Linked DNA regions of Notamacropus eugenii. The protein of the gene in region 1 binds, or shares a complex with, the protein of each later gene. Links are inferred from orthologs where the notes say so. Each region holds a gene or a part of one and is shown on either strand. Other genes may lie near its edges.

What was found.
Region 2: the proteins of S1PR1 (region 1) and early activation antigen CD69-like are in contact, whole or in part, in a cryo-EM structure (PDB 8G94), measured with the Homo sapiens proteins. The link is inferred for Notamacropus eugenii from reciprocal best matches to the Homo sapiens genes S1PR1 and CD69. Residues at the interface, in NP_001307659.1 of Homo sapiens: Asn157, Leu160, Phe161, Ile164, Ser165, Trp168, Val169, Leu172, Ile173, Gly176, Ile179, Met180, Gly181; in NP_001772.1 of Homo sapiens: Val41, Ala44, Val45, Val48, Val49, Thr52, Ile53, Ile56, Ile59, Ala60, Val63.

Annotation. Positions count from the first base shown.
Region 1 is NC_092873.1:277,722,395-277,730,751, reverse strand, and holds the start of S1PR1 (sphingosine 1-phosphate receptor 1), read right to left. Parts: upstream 3,426-8,357; 5' UTR 3,046-3,425; intron 3,016-3,045; exon of another isoform or gene 1,726-3,015; intron 1,353-1,725; 5' UTR 1,191-1,352; coding exon 48-1,190; 3' UTR 1-47.
Region 2 is NC_092874.1:200,192,762-200,200,632, forward strand, and holds the start of early activation antigen CD69-like, read left to right. Parts: upstream 1-4,484; 5' UTR 4,485-4,539; intron 4,540-7,871. UniProt on the Homo sapiens protein: Transmembrane protein expressed mainly on T-cells resident in mucosa that plays an essential role in immune cell homeostasis.

The DNA.
Region 1 (8,357 bases):
GGAGGCGTCAGCACAGCACCCCTGTAGGCCTGCAGCAGAGTTCAGGTTTAGGAAGAGGAATTAACGTTCCCAGAGGACATGATAGTCTCCGGGTTGTCGCCGTCGTCCTTTTGCGGGTGGGAAGAATTATCTGATTTGCTGCGGCTGAACTCCATGCCGCCAATGATGGGTCGCTTGAACTTGGCCCCCGAGTCCCCGCTAGGGCACTTGCAGCAAGACATGATGCGCACGAATGCCCGCCGCATCTCCTTGTTGGTCAGCGTGTAAATGATGGGGTTGGTGGCCGAGTTGAGCACCGCCAACACCAAGAAATACTCAGCCTTGTAGAGGATTTTACACGTATTCACCTTGCAGCCCACGTCCAGAAGGAGCAAGATGAAAAGTGGAGACCAACAGGCAATGAAAGCGCTCAAGACGATGATGACCGTCTTGAGGAGCGCAAGTGATTTCTCGGAGCTCCTGCTGGCCTTAGAAATGTTCTTGCGGAAGGTCAGCCGACGGCTCCGAGTCCTGACCAGGGAATAGATCCGGCAGTAGAGGATGACGATGGAGAGGAGGAGCAGGGTGAAAACTGTGGTGCAGAAAAGGATATAGTGCTTGTGGTAGAGGGGCAGCACGGTGGAGCAGCTTTGTAAGTAGCCAATGCAGTTCCAACCCATGATGGGCAGCCCCCCCAGGATCAGCGAGATGACCCAGCAGGCGCTGATGAGCAGGAAGGAGCGGAAACTGTTGCTCCCGTTGTGTAGCTTCATCTTTAGCATGGTGATGTAGCGCTCGATGGCAATGGCCAGCAAGCTGAACACGGAGGCCGACAGGGCCACGAACATACTACCCTCCCGCAGGAACCACTGCGCTGGAGTGAGTTTGTAGGTGGTGGCCCCGGAGAGAAGGAGGTTGGCTGTATAGGCCACCCCGGCCAGCAGGTCCGACAGGGCTAAGTTTCCAATGAAATAGTACATGGGCCGGTGGAACTTCTTGGTTTTCCAGATGGTCAGGAGCACGAAAATGTTCTCCAGGATAATGAAGCAGCAGATGAGGATGAATAACACCGAAGTCACTTTGAGGCCGCTCTCCGCGCTGGAGTTCAGCTTTCCCGTGTAGTTGTAATGCTTGATGATGATGTCATAGTTGACATAGTCAGAGACCAAGCTGGGAATGGCCTTGACCGACGGCACACTGGTGGAGCCCATGATTCTGGGAGAAAGGCCTGCAGTAGCCCTATGCGTCGCCTCCCCAACTGGACGCTAGAGGGCAAAGTCGAGCAAGGCTTGTACCACCGGCTGGTACAGGGAGCGGTGGCCAGTCTTTTCTGTAGCCCTTCCCCTGCTGATGGGGCCTCGAAGACCTCGGCCCTAAACAAGGCACAAAGAGGAGAGAGTCAGGGGGGGAAAGAGGCACATTACGTTGGCATAATTCATTCGAGCTACAGTTGTGGCTCTATCTATGTTCAGAGAGAAGAGAAAGGGGGTAAAAACCTACAAGGAATCGAATGTCCAACTTTTGCAAAAAGAAAAGTCCTCAATTTTCTCCAAACCGAAAAAAATCCTGCATTTTCCTCCCTCCCTCCACCCCCACCCCCGCCAAAACTAGACAGAATGTATTAGGGAAGACTTTTTAAACTAAACTTGGAGATGCTTGTGGTGGATCATACTGCATTTCCAATTACTCCAGACCTCTCCTGAGTCCCTCCCTGGGTAAGCCCTTCCTCTCCCCCCCGACACACACTTTCAGCTGCTTCACTCGCCATCTCACTCAACTCCAATGCGGGCAATTAAACCTCAAGTTTAGAAACCGAGGGTTGGGGTGGGGAGGAGGGGAGGGGAGTACTGTCCCCTCCCCTTCCTAAAAAGGAGAAACGACTGCCGAATTGTTATGTATGAATTTCTCAAGAAAATCAGCTCATAAACTAAATCACTCTTTTCACTCTATTAATAGCATCCTCTAGAAGCAGGTGTGCAGTGAAGATCACCAGCGTGAGGCTCCAGTGAGGTGTGCGAAGCGAGGCCAACAGCAACCTAAGCGGTAAACAGGAAAGCTTAAAACTTAAAATGAAGCTCCCCCTCCCCCTTTTTGCGCAACCTTTGAAAGCAGCAGTAGGGCAGTACAAATAGACTTAAAGGAACTTAGTGAAACCCATTCATAACAAAGGGAATTCAGCAGACCTCAAAGTTTGAGATAACTAATAAATAGATTGCATAAGTTTTTTTAACATTTTTTTCTGGTTTAAAAAAACATGTTATAGTTAGAATGACAACGCAGGTCGTCAAGTTCTGATGTTCCACCGCAAAACGATTTTCAAGAAAGTCAAATAACTAAACGCTTTAACAGATTACAATGTATACCATAAATAATCTCCCACCACCACCTCTGTAAAAAAAAGAGGGTCCCCTCTTTCAATGAACCAGAAAGTGAGGAGGAAAAAGACCAAGGCGATATCACAAAACTAGAAAGTGAAATTCCTTAATATGCTAAAGGCAATGTAGCAGCAGTAGTAACTGGGTAACAAATGGACCCTTTAAGATTTAACGTAGTAACTATCTTGGATCAGCAGAGATTTCTCTGCACGCACTTCGTTGACACCCCTGTCCTCCCCAACGAATTCTGCAATGGGACGCCGTACAGAGCAAGTGGATATTCTTTTTAGCACTTTTTCTGCAAGCGTTGTCTATTGGGTTTTCAACAATGACCCTCTCCCCCTTTTCCTTCCTCTCGGCTGACCACCCGCGGACTTTTCCAGCCTTTCGTCCAATTTCGATTTGGCACCCCTTAAACTCTTGCAAATCACATCTATAAACGCCTCCAAAACTTGAGGCAGGTAAGAGAGTCAGCAGGGTCAGCCTGTCTGATTTGCGTTCCTAGGGGAGATAATCGCTCACATATGGAGTTTTCGATATTAATAATAACTACGATAATGCATGCGTGCACATTTTAAAACTTCATATCCAAAGCCAAAGTTTGCTTTCCACAGTTTGCGATCAAAGCCCATTCAAGACCTGGGCTCCCTCCCGTCTTCCCCTAGTCCACGTTGCTCCTCGGAGCTCTTACCTCGCTCAGGCAGGACAAAGTTCGTTTTTAAATGCTTCTGGTCGGCAGGAGCTCGTGCTTGGCATCTTGCTGCCCCAGAATGAATTCAAGCCTCGCTACCAAACTTCCTTTACCAAGGGGTCCCCCCCCTCCTTCTCCTCGCTCTCCAGCTAAGCGCGTTCTGGCCAGTCCGGGAGGTGCAGGCAGGAGATAGAGCCCAATCCAGAGAGCTCAACTAACTGTACTGGTAGTCTCACTGGCGTGTATGTGTTTTCTTCTGCTGCTGGTTTAGGGAGGGACTGGGAGGGGTTAACGTATCTAATCTTTCACCCCCTCCTCAGGCAGCTGGGGCTCCTCTGGATCTGAATAGTCACTCCGGACTCTCCAGGAAAGGAGCTGGGTGGATGGGAGGGGAAACCGAGAGGAGGGGGACGCAAACCACCAACCAGACCTAGCTCAGTAGGAGGAGCCTGGGGGCCCCCTTGTAGCTATAATGTATAAATCACGGTCCTTTAGCTGCCAAGACGCTGCTCCCGGGCGGTGGAGCTTATTCATCCCCGCTACTCTTTTGAAAAGAGAGTGGGGGAGGGAGAAGTCTGAGAGCTTTGGAAAACTTCTCTTTTTTCTATGTGTTTGGATGCCTAACACTGGCTTGTCCTAAGCAAACCCCTAGACTGCTTCCTTCCAGCCTCCTCCCAGCTCCCCTCCACATTCTCACTCTCTCCCAGAAGTCATTTCCACGCAACCTTCTCTCCTCTCCTCTCCTCTTCTGTCCTCTCCTCTCCTCTCCTCTTCTGTCCTCTCCTCTCCTCTCCTCTCCTCTGCTTCTTCTCCTCCCTTCCCCATACCCGCCCCCAAGAGACTATTAACCAAGGTCCGGTTTCTGGGTCCCTGGGGAGTAACCACAGGGTATAGGAAGGGAAGCCCTGGGAATCAGAGAGAAGCTTCTAAGAAGCCAGGGCCCGCGCTTGGGAGAAAAGTGGGGAGGGTCTGGGAGAGAGGGGGATGTCAAAGTGGTCTTTGGTTCAGGCAAGCTGGATAGGCAGGACCCGAAGAATGTCCCTCATCTCCCTTTCTCTTTTCGCCACATTCACCACCAGTTCTCTTTTGAGGCTGGATAGAGTGAGCATCTTGGGGAGGGGAGGAGGGGCAGAGATTGTGGGCAGAGGGAAAAAAAAAATTGGCTCTTGTTGAGTGGAATGCCATAGCATCGCGTCACAAGAGAAATGGGAAATGAGAGGAAAGAGGGATAGCTCGGGATGATGGGAAGAACGGAGGGGGATGGAAGGGGGTATTTCCATGTCTGTCTAAAGTGGGATAAAGGTCAAGATCAGAGAAAGTGGGTTGTAGAGGCAAGAGTCTTGGACAGGTCAACAAATCCCTTTACCTCTCTGGCCCTCAATGTCCTTATCTATAAAATGAGAAGATTGGGCTAAATTTGGTCTCTCATCCAGGTCTCATATTCTTGTCATCCTGTTTTCTCCTCTCCCCTTCCCATGTCATTCGCCTTTTCTGTCTCTGTGTCTATTTCTTTTATCTCTGTCTCTCCCTCTCCTTCTCTGACTCAATCTCTATTTCTGTCTCTGCAGGTCTCTCCCTTTGTCTGTAGGTCTCTCTTCCTCTTCTTTCTCCCTCCCTCTCCTGTACCCTTTTGGATTGGACAGTGGATGGATTACAATCAATGTATTTAAATAAAAAGAATTACAGGAGTTTGGGGGCGGAGTCAATGCCTAGAAACTCCAAAGAAAGGAAAACTCAGGCTTACTCTCCAGCCAGGGGCCCTCTCAATCCCCCAAACAGCAGGAAGATCGTCTCTTCTTTCATCACTCTACCTGGTAAGAAAGTCAAAGCTGAAGAGGAACAGACTCACCCCCTCTCTCCACTTTAACCTTCTAAGAACATGGGCAGAGTCCAGATAAAACATATGTAGGTAGCAAAAACATTATACCTCTATTCAGCTGATAAACAGCTACTAGCCATATTTACTTTCCTTAAGATCCTGTGATCCTATGTACTAGCTCTTTAGTAGATGTGAAGAAACATATCTTCCCCTGCTGTCTAGTTTCTATTGGCGTACACACCCTCTACCTGAATGAGTCAGAAGAAGGTTAGAAGAAGAAAACATCAGACCCCTAGCTTCTAGAATGTTATGAGTTTGCAGGAAAAAATGAAAAGTTTCTCGTTTTAAAGTAACGGTTAGTTCACATCTGTCACAGAGTTCCCTTTAATGACAAACTTTTACAATGCACAAAACCATACATAAACATCACAAACTCAAACACTAACTTTAAAAACAGGGGAAACAGAGTTCTCAGATGTGTCTCGAGTTGCATTTGAGAGCTTTGTTAATTTCAAAGGAGAGATGGATGGTAATTTAGCAATTATCTGTTAGTATAATTATAGACACATTGGACGGGTGCACACAGACAAATTGCATCATCTCTTGTCTGGATGGGTACAATAGTTTATTTTCCCCATAGCTGGTTACTGCTTACTCCAGCCTATCCTTACGATGCTACCAATGTTTTTTATAGGTTATGATTTCATTGGGATATGGGCATCCTACTACCAACATAGTTCCCCATGTGCTATGTAGTTTAAAGTCTTGAAGAGTTAGTTTTCTTGAATACCAAGAAGGTAAGTGACTTGTCCAGTATCACTCAGCCAGTCTGCATCAAAAGTGAGACCTGAATTCAGGTCTTTCTGACTCAGAGGCTAGTTCTCCATCCACTATGCCACACTGCCTCACATACTGCCAGTTTAACCTTCCTAAAACACTTCTTTGTATATATCCAAAGTTTCCAGGAGCTCCCTATTGCTTTAGTAAGGATTCTTGACCTGGGATCAGCAAATATCACAGATAGATCTCAAGAGTTCATTAACTTGGATGAAGAAAAAGTATGTCTTTATTTTCACTAACTTTTGACTTCCTTTGAAATCTAATATATGTTATTTGATGCATTTAAAAATATTATTCTGAGAAGAGATCCATAGGCTTCACTAGACTGTCAAAAGGGTCCAGGAAAGGTTAAGATCCCCTAGCCTTAAATAGGCTAAAACTCAAATTCCTTAACCTGATATTAAAGGCCCTCCACAATCTAGCATCAAACTCCTTTTCTAGACTTCTGTGTTATGGACCTCTTCGGGAATCAGGGGAAACCTATGGGATCTTTTTCAGAATAATATTTGTAAATGCATAAAATAAAATCCATAGGATCACAAAGGAAACCAAAGGTTAAAGAAAATGAATATGTGTTTTTATGTCATTCTAGTTCATCTTCCCCCTGAAAACTATTCATAGAAGGAGTCCATGGACCCCAGGTTTACCTTTAAGCTCCAGCTAAGCTGCTAACCTTTCCCTACTTGTGTCCCAAGGTCTTTTCTCAGGCTATTTTCCTAAATCTGATGCATCCTCTCTCCTCATCTAATCTGTCAAAATCCTGCCAATTCTTTAAGTCTCAGCACAAATGTCACCTCTTCCATGAAGCCATCCTTGATTTTTCCAGTTGATAATGATCTTTTTTGAGATAGATCTGCTATAGTATTTTTCTCTTCTCCAATGCTTTTATCATATAAATTTTTGCATTATAGTTCCACAATTCAATTTAATTCAACAAACACTTATTAATGGAAAAGGCACCTGGCTAATTTGGAAGAATATTTAAAATAAAACAAATATTTCTCTGAAGTCTTTCCCAGACTTTACCACTTAGAAAAATGTATGAAGAGTCAAGAAAAAAAAGCACAAGTTTTGAGAATGTGGATTAAGGGGCAATAACCAATTTAAAGGGGAGGGGGAGGGTTGGCACATGTGCAGAGCACCTGGGACAGCATCTTTCCATATGGAGAGCTAAGGAGTATGCTTTTGGGAAAATCTTGATGATATACAGGAAATGCCTTCTGGAGACAATGGAGCATGAGTGGACTTACGTAACTGTTTCTGGTTAGCTAACCACATACTGTAGAATAGACTGGCTTTGGAGGTATTCAAAAAGGCCTCTCAGAGTTGGCTACTTCCCCTTTAGTCTTCTTCACTTTTGGTCTCTTTTGATGAATCCTTCACTCACTGAATCTGGTGAAAGACCATTGTTGTCAAGGGAAAGGCTTTAGGGTCTTCTTCCAGTCTAAGGTGGTATGGTCTCATGACATGACCCTTAGCTTCTAATTTTAACTAAAGGTCGAAATCAGAGAAAGTGGGATGTAGTCATTAGTCCTTAGCCTCTACTTTTGTTTTCATTTTTTGTTTTGTTTTGTTTTCCTTTTTAAGCAAGGGAAATTGGTGTTTTCAATCCTAGGAGTTTTGAAAGTTAGGAGAGCCAAAGGAATCTGGGAAACAGGTCTAGGATAGGTTTTTCAGCCACAAATAAGGAACAACCTTTAGAAATGACTTTCAGTACCCCAGCCCACCAGTAATTTAGACAAGGAACCATTCAGCAGAGATGCTGTTTTTGTGTGTGAACTTAATGGGACTAATGTTGTATAGGAACTGAGCTAAGCTTTAAGCTTATTCTCCTAGGGACAGAGGAGGTGTTGGGGGAAGAGTGGCATATTTGTATGTTCTTGCTATGCCTTTGAATTAAATAGTTCTCTATCAAAACTAGTTAATGTCATTTATTTAACCCAGACTTGTCTGGATTACACAGTAAAAGAGGAAGGTCTTCCTTCCCCACTCCCTCTTTTACCTCTGCTTCAAGAAATGGGCTTGGAGGTATTTGTTTCTATTCTGTGCTATTTGTCCTCCTAAGTTGCAGGTTCTGGAGGTGATTCCCATAGGACCTACAAAGAACTTGAGCCAACCTTGGAGCCAGGATTGAGTCAGGGTAGTACAGCTGGCCCTCCCGGTATGGAAGCTTTGAAAAGCCTCTGATACAAGCCCAAGAGGGCTTTTGGATTTATAACTGGGACTGTGCTATAGGAATGGAGCTTAACTGTGAAACTAATCCCTTTCCCCTAAGGCTGATGTGCTACAAAGTGGAGAGGAGTGGGAAAAGGAATATGCCTCCCTTGTGTTGAAGAGTAAGTTTGTATGTTTGTGATTATACCTCCTGAAGTAAATATTTCTGTGTAAAGGCTAATCTAACTTTTAATGGCTAAATGTAATTGCAGCACAAGGGGACAAGCCCCTATATTTGGGGGACACCACCAGTATGAGCTGGAGTCATTTGATACCCACTCCAAATTCCCTGAAGGGTATCAGAGTATGCTGGGAAAGTGATGAAATGTAACCTACCTGGCCTTCAGGAAGTCAGAGTCAGGGTAGTCTGTATTATACTTAGTTCAATGGAATCTGGTACTAATCCCTAGTCCCCTAACAACGCAGGAGGGAATAGCCA
Region 2 (7,871 bases), on another chromosome or scaffold:
CAAAGAAAACAGACATCAAATACTTAGACAACTTCAGAGTAGCTGTAGTATTTTAAATTTAAGTACTTAAAATTTAAAACCCTGCAAAAAATTTAAAAAAAATTTTAAACCCTTTCATCCCCTGTACACACTATTCTGGTAACATGCTGGTATTTCTAGCAGCTGTAATGGATGCTATTGGTGATTATAACATTACCTTTGTCATGTTTCTCTTTCATTTCCTCTTTTGGTCTTATTCCCTACTCTGTCCCCCACCCACTGTTTTTCCCTTATATAATGGAACACACTGTCTCTTTATGTGGTATTAGGGAAAACAGTACCCCAACTTTTTTTTAAAGCTTTATATTCATGTCTTCAGAAGTGGTTTAAATGTTTCCTGTTTGAAGACTAAGACAAATGTAAACATGGAGTATAAATTTCCGGAGGTTGATTGTTAAGATCAATAGGAAAGTGTACCCATCTTTGATGAAACCCCCAGGGATAATACAGAAAAACCACTGCATTTATATTTTGTTTAAGTTCAATAGCGAGACCCAAAATGTGTTCCTATATTATAAAAGAGACTACTTAGAAAGAAACTTAATCATTAAAATATAATTAACTTTTTAAAAGCTTTTAGAAAGGGACATTTCATTAAAAATTATGTATATACCCAATAATATTTTCTCCCACCCCAAATATTTAAGAAGGGGCATGCTCTCCCTTATATGACTTTCACTTCTAAGGGAGTTAACTCAACACTTAGTTACTTTCCTATATAGCACTGATCCCATCAAGTTCACTTTTATATGCTGCATGATTTTCAGGTAAAACCTAATTTCAGTTTCCATTGGCCTGGGTCTAGAAGATCACTCTTTGATTAATGCTGTATTGGCTTCAACAAAATGTTGCTATGCCCTAATGATGACCTTTTGAACTCACTACAGTATGAGACTTTACCCAGCATGGAAAAGAACAAAAGAAAAGATTGAGGATAGAGATTGGGACCCCATGGCTTCAGATAGGGAAAAGCCCTAAGATTTTCTCATTTACCACATGGTGTCTCACCAGACGCCTTCGGCAAAGGATTCCTCAAAATGCCTTCAAAATAACTGAGGGAAAAGAGTCCATGGCTGGTGCTTAGGAGGCTTTTTTTTGAAGACATTTAAAACCAATTAGAGAGCCTTCCTTCACCAAGTGGTTTGCTAACTAGAACCAGTTACATCCATGCATGCTAAGGCACTTCCTTTACATTTCAACATGACTCTTCTGGAAACAAAGCTCTTGAGTGTCCTTTTTTAAAAATTAAATTATTTTATTTGTTTTCAGTGTTCAACAATCACTTCCATACATCTTAGATATTTTCCTCTCCCTTCTCCTCATTTCCTCCTCCCTCCTCATTCCCTCCCTGAGAGGGCATGCAATCTTATATAGGTTTTACATATGCATTTCTATTAAATACATGCTGCATAGAAGAATTAAAATGAATGGGAGAAACCATAAAACAAAACAAAACAAAGCATAATACAAAAGAAAATGGTCTGCTTCTATCTGCAATCCAATTTCATAGTTATTTCTCTGGATGTGGAAAGTATTTTGCCTCGAGACCATTGGAAATTTTTTAAGTCCTTGCATTGAAATGAAGTACTAAGTCTACCAGAAAAATTCCTCGCACACTGTGGTTGTTCCTGTGTACAAAGTTCTCTTGGTTCTGCTCCTTTAACCTAGCATCAGTTCATATAAGTCTTTCCAGGCCTCTCTTCCTGTTCATTTTTCATAGCACAACAGGATTCCATTATATTCATATACAACAACTTACTCAGCCATTTCCCAATTGATGGACATCTCCTTGATTTCCAGTTTTTGGCCACCACAGAGAGCTGCTATAAACATTTTTGTACATATAGGACCCTTTCCCATTTTTATGATCTCTTTAGAAGAGAGTACCAGAAGTGATATTACTGAGTCAAAGTGTATGCACATTCTTGTAGTCCTTTGGGCATAGTTCCAAATTGCTCTCCAGAATGGTTGGATCAGCTCACAGCTCCACCAACAATGAATTAGTGTTCCAATTCTCCTACATCTTCTCCAACATTTATTATCTTCCTCTTTTGTCACATTAGTCAATCTGATAGGTGTAATGTGGTATCTCAGAGTTGTTTTGATTTGTATCTCTCTAACCAATAGTGATTTAGGGCATTTTTTCATATGACTATAGATATATTTAATTTCTTCCTCTGAAAACTGCCTGTTCATATCTTTTGACCATTTATCAATTGGGGAACGACTTGTATTCTTGGACATTTCACTCAGTTCTCTATACAGTATAGAAAAGAGGCCTTTATCACAGACATTAGTCACAAAAATTCTTTCCCAGTTTTCTTCTTCCCTCCTAATCTTGGTTGCATTGGGTTCTTCTGTGCAAAAACATTTCAATTTAATGTAATCAAAATTATCCATTTTGCACTTCATAATGTTCTCTATCTCTTGTTTGGTCATAAATTTCTCCATTCTCCATAAATCTGACAAATACATTATTCCCTCCTCCCCTAATTTGTTTATACCTAGATCATGTATCATTCTTGTGTACGGTGTCAGACATGGGTCTATGCCCAGTTTCTGCCACACTGTTATCCAGTTCTCCCAGCAATTTTTGTCAAAGTGAGTTCTTATCCCAGAAGTTAAGGCCCTTGGGTTTATCAAACAGTAGATTGCTATATTCATGGACTACTGTGTCTGGAGTACCTAACTATTCCACTGGTCTACCCCTCTATTTCTTAGCCAATACCAATACCTTTATAATACAATTTGAGATCTGGTAGGGTTAGGGCACCTTCCCTACCATTTCTTTTCATTCGTTCCCTTGTTTTTCTGAACCTTTTGTTCTTCCAGATGAATTTTGATACTATTTTTTCTAGCTGTAGAAAGTAATTATCTGGTAAGTTTGATTGGTATGGCACTGAATAAGTACATTAATTTAGGTAGAATTGTCATTTTTATTATATTAGCTCGGCCTACCCATGAGCAACTGAGATTTTTCCACTTAACTTAGATCTGATTTTATTTCTGTGAAAAGTCTTTTGTAATTGTGTTCATATAGTCCCTGGGTTTGTTTTGGCAGGTAGACTGCCAGATGTTTTATAGTGTCTACCATAGCTTTAAATAGGATTTTTCTTTCTATCTCTTGCTGTTGGACTTTGTTAGTAATATATAGAAATGCAGATGATTTATCTGGGTTTATTTTGTAACCTGCAACTTTGTCAGTTATTTATTATTTCAAGTAGTTTTTTACTTCATTCTCTGGAATTCTCTAAGGATATCATCACATCATCTGCAAAGAGTAATAACTTAGTTTCTTCTTTGACTATTCTAATTCCTTCAAATTTTTTCTTCTCTTATTGCTACAGCTAGCATTTCTACTAACATATTTAATAACAGTGGTAATAAAAGACATCTTTGTTTCACCCCTGATCTTATTGGAAATGCATCTAGCTTATCCCCATTGCACATAATGCTTGCTGATGATTTTAGGTAGACACTGCATATTATTTTCTAGAAAGTTTCATATATTACTACGCTTTCCCGTGTTTTCAATAGGAAACACTGGTTTTTGGCAAAAGCTTTTTCTGCATCTCTTGAGATAATCATGTGGTTTCTGTCAGTTTTATTGTTGATATGATCAATAATACTAATAGTTTTCCTAATATTGAACCAGTCCTGCACTGTTGGTAGAAATCCTACCTGAGAAAAATGTATTATTCTAGTCATAAGTTGCTGTAGCCTTTTTGCTAACATCTTATTTAAAATTTTTGCATCTATACTCAATAGAGAAATTGGTCTATAATTTTCTTTCTTTGTTTTGGCTCTTCCTGGTTTAGGCATCAGAACTACATGCAATTTTCCCAAATAGTCTATGTAGTATTTTAATTAAGTGTTCTTTAAATGTTTGATAGAATTCACTTGTAAATTCATTTGTCTGGCTCTGGAGATTTTTTCCCAAGGAGTTCATTGATGGTTTGTTCAATTTCTTTTTCTGAGATGAGGTTATTTAAGTATTCAACTTCCTCTTCTGTTAATCTGGGCAGTTTATATTTTTTAAAATAATCATCCATCTCATTTAGATTGTCGAATTTGTGGGCATACAGTTGGGGAAAGTAATTTCTAATTATTGTTTTAATTTCCTCCTCATTGGAGGTTAGTTCACCCTTTTCATTTTTGATATTGATAATTTGGTTTTCTTCTTTCTTTTTTTAATCCAATTGACCAAAGTTTTATCAATTTTACTGTTTTTTTCATAAAACCAACTCTTAGTTTTATTTATTAGTTCAGTAGTTTTCTTAATTTCAATTTCAATTCAATTCTCAATTTCAACTTCAAATTCTCCTTTGGTTTTCAGGATTTCTAATTTTGTATTCACCTGGGGATTTCAATTTTTTTTTCTAGCTTTTTCAGCTGCATGTCCAATTCACTGATCTCCTATTTCTCTATTTTATTCATGCAGGCATTCAAAGATATAAAGCTTCATCTAAGAACTGATTTTTCAGTTTCCTATAAGATTTGGTGAGTTGTCTCATTATTGTCATTCTCTTGAATGAACTTATTGATTGTTTCCATAATTTGTTGTTTAACCCACTTGTTCTTTAGGATTGAATTGTTCAGTTTCCAATTAATTTTTGCTTTATATTTCCATGGCCTTTGATTATATATAATTTTTATTGCATTATGATCTAAGAAGGATGCACTGACTGCCTTTCTGCACTGGATAGTGAGGATTTTATGGCCTAGTACATGGTCAATTTTTATATATGTGCCATGTACAGCTGAGAAAAAGGTATAGTTCTTTCTATCCCTTTTCAATTTTCTCCAGAGATCTATCATACCTACCTTATCCAGAGTTTTATTCACCTCTTTAACTTCTTTCTTGTTTGTTTTGAGGTTAGATTTATCAAGTTCAGAGAGGGGGAGGTTGAAGTCCCCCACTAGTATAGTTTTGCTGTCTATTTCTTCCTGTAACTCCCTTAACTTGTCCTCTAGGAATCTGGTTGCTATACTACTTGGAGCATATATATTTAGTAATGAAATTGCTTCGTTGTCTATGATGCCTTTTAGCAGGATATAGTTTCCTTCTTTATCTTTTTTGATTAGATCTATTTCTGCTTTTCCTTTGTCTGAGATTGAGATTGCTACCCCTGCTTTTTTAACATCAGCTGAAGCACAATATATTCTGTTCCAACCTTTCACCTTTACCCTGTGTGTATGCCCACATTTCAAATATGTTTCTTGTAAACAACTTATTGTTGGATTATGGTTTTTAATCCATTCTACTATCCATCTCTGTTTTCTGGGAGGGTTCATTCCATTCACATTCACAGTTATGATTACTATCTGTGTCTTTCCCTCCATCCCCTTTCCCCTGTTTATATTTTTAATTGTCCTTTTCCCTTCCCCTCCACAATAAAACTTTAATTTTTGACCACAGCCTCCCTCAATCTTCCCCCCTTCTTTGAACTCCCCTCCATTTTAATTCCCTTTTCTCCTATTTCTTCTTCCCTCCCTTTTAGTTTCCCCTTCCTTTTCTTTCCCGCTTCCCCTCCTATTGCCTATGGAGCTAGTTGTATTTCTATACTTAACTGAGTTTATGGTTCCCTCCTTGAATCTAATCAAATGAGAGTGATTCTCAAACAATGCTCATCTCCCTCCCCTCTTTCCTTCTACTGTAATATATTTTTGTGCCTCTTCCTGTGATCCAATTTACCTTTTTATGACTCCTCCTTTTCACATCTCTCATTACAATCCCTTCACACTCTTAAATCACATTTTTATCATGACATCATTTACTTTATACCACTCTCTCTATCTATGTATATTCCTTTTATATATCATAATAAGTATACAACTCTCAAGATTAACAAGCATCATCTTCCTTTATAGATTTGGAAACAGTTTACCCATATTGCCCATTTTCCCCCTGTTTACTTTTTTATGCCTCTCTTGAGACCTGCATTTGAATTTTCTACTGAGCTCTGGCCTTTTCATCAGGAAGGTCTGGAGATCCCTTATTTCATTGAATGTCCATCTCCTTGCCTGAAATATTATGCTCAAATTTCCTAGGTAATTGATCCTTGGTTGTAGTCCCAGCTCCTTTGCCTTATGGAATATCATATTCCAATCACTCTGATCTTTTAATGTAGAAGCTGTAAGGTCCTGTGTGATCCTGACTGTAGGTCCTTGACATTTGAATGGTTTCTTTCTGGCTGCCTGCAGTATTTTCTCCTTCACTTGATAGTTCTGGAATTTTGCAACGATATTCCTTGGTGATTTTAGTTTGGAATGCCTTGCAGGAGATGAACAATGGACTCTTTCAATGACTACTTTGCCCTTCGGATCTAGGACTTCTGGACAATTTTCCTTGATGATTACTTGGAAGATATTGTCTTGGCTCTTTTTTCATCATGACTTTCTGGTAGATCAATAATCCTTAGATTTTCTCTCCTGGATGTATTTTCCCAGGTTGGTTGTTTTTCCAATTAGATATTTTACATTTTCTTCTATCTTTTCATTCTTTAAATTCTGTTTGACTCATTCTTGATGTCTCATAGAGTCTTTAGTTTCTACTTACCTGATTCTACTATTTATCAAATTGTTTTCTTCAGTTAATTTTTGCATCTCCTTTTTCATCTGTCCAGTTGTTCCTTTTAAGGAATTATTTTCTCCAGTTAGGTTTTTGTGCTTCCTTTTCCCTTTGTCCAATATTCCTTTTAAATTCTTCTGTGATTTCTTTTTTCATATTTAAAAAAAAAATCATGTCAGTTTTTCTTCTATTTCTCTAATTTGGCTTTTAAAATCCTTCCTGAGCTCTTCCAAGATTGCTCTTTGTGCTTCATACCAGTTCATATTTCCATCTGAAGTTTCAGATGGAAGTACAGTCTCAACACTGACCTCTTTGGTGTGGCAGAGGTAGCAGCAGCCAGTGTCCATTGTTCCATTGTTGGAGAGTTCAGCTTAAACCTCCCCCCACCAGGGAACTGAGCAGCTGATATGAACCTGAGCCCTGAGTGGTGGCCCTGCCCCACACCTAAAGCCCTTGGAGAAATTGAGCAGCTGATATGAATCTCAATCATGAGCCTGGCCAGGGAGTAAATTCCTCTCACTTAATTGTGACATCTTGGAGGAACTGAAATCTTGCAGGTCTCCAGAGTATACCCTACTCTTGATAAAGGACCAAAAAGTCAGGTAACTGGTTGGGAAAATGACCAAAAAAGGGAAAAAAATAAGACTATAGAAGGTTACTTTCTTGGTGAACAGGTATTTTCTACCATCCTTTCTGATGAGGAAGAAGAATGTTTACCATCAGGGGAAGACATAAAAGTCAAGGCTTCTGCATTCAAAACCTCCAAAATAAATATGCAATGGTCTTAGGCCATGGAAGAGCTCAAAAAGGATTTTGAAAATCAAGCTAGAGAGATGGAGGAAAAAATGGGAAAAGAAATGAGAGCAATGCAAGAAAGTCATGAAAAGTGAGTCAACAGCTTGCTAAAGGAAACCAAAAAAAATGCTGAAGAAAATAACACCTTTAAAAATAGCCTAACTCAATTGACAAAAGAGGTTCAAAAAGCCAATGAGGAGAAAGTGCTCTAAAAAGCAGAATTAGCCAAATGGAAAGAGTTTCAAAAGCTCACTGAAGAAAAGAATGACTTTATGAGAAACCAAGAAATAACAAAACAAAACCAAAAGAATGAAAAAATGGAAGATAATGTGAAATGTCTCATTGGAAAAACAAGTGACCTCAAAAATAGGTTGAAGAGACACAATTTAAAAATTATGGGACTACCTCAAAGCCATGATAAAAAATAAGAGCTTAGACATCATCTTTCATGAAATTATCAAGGAAA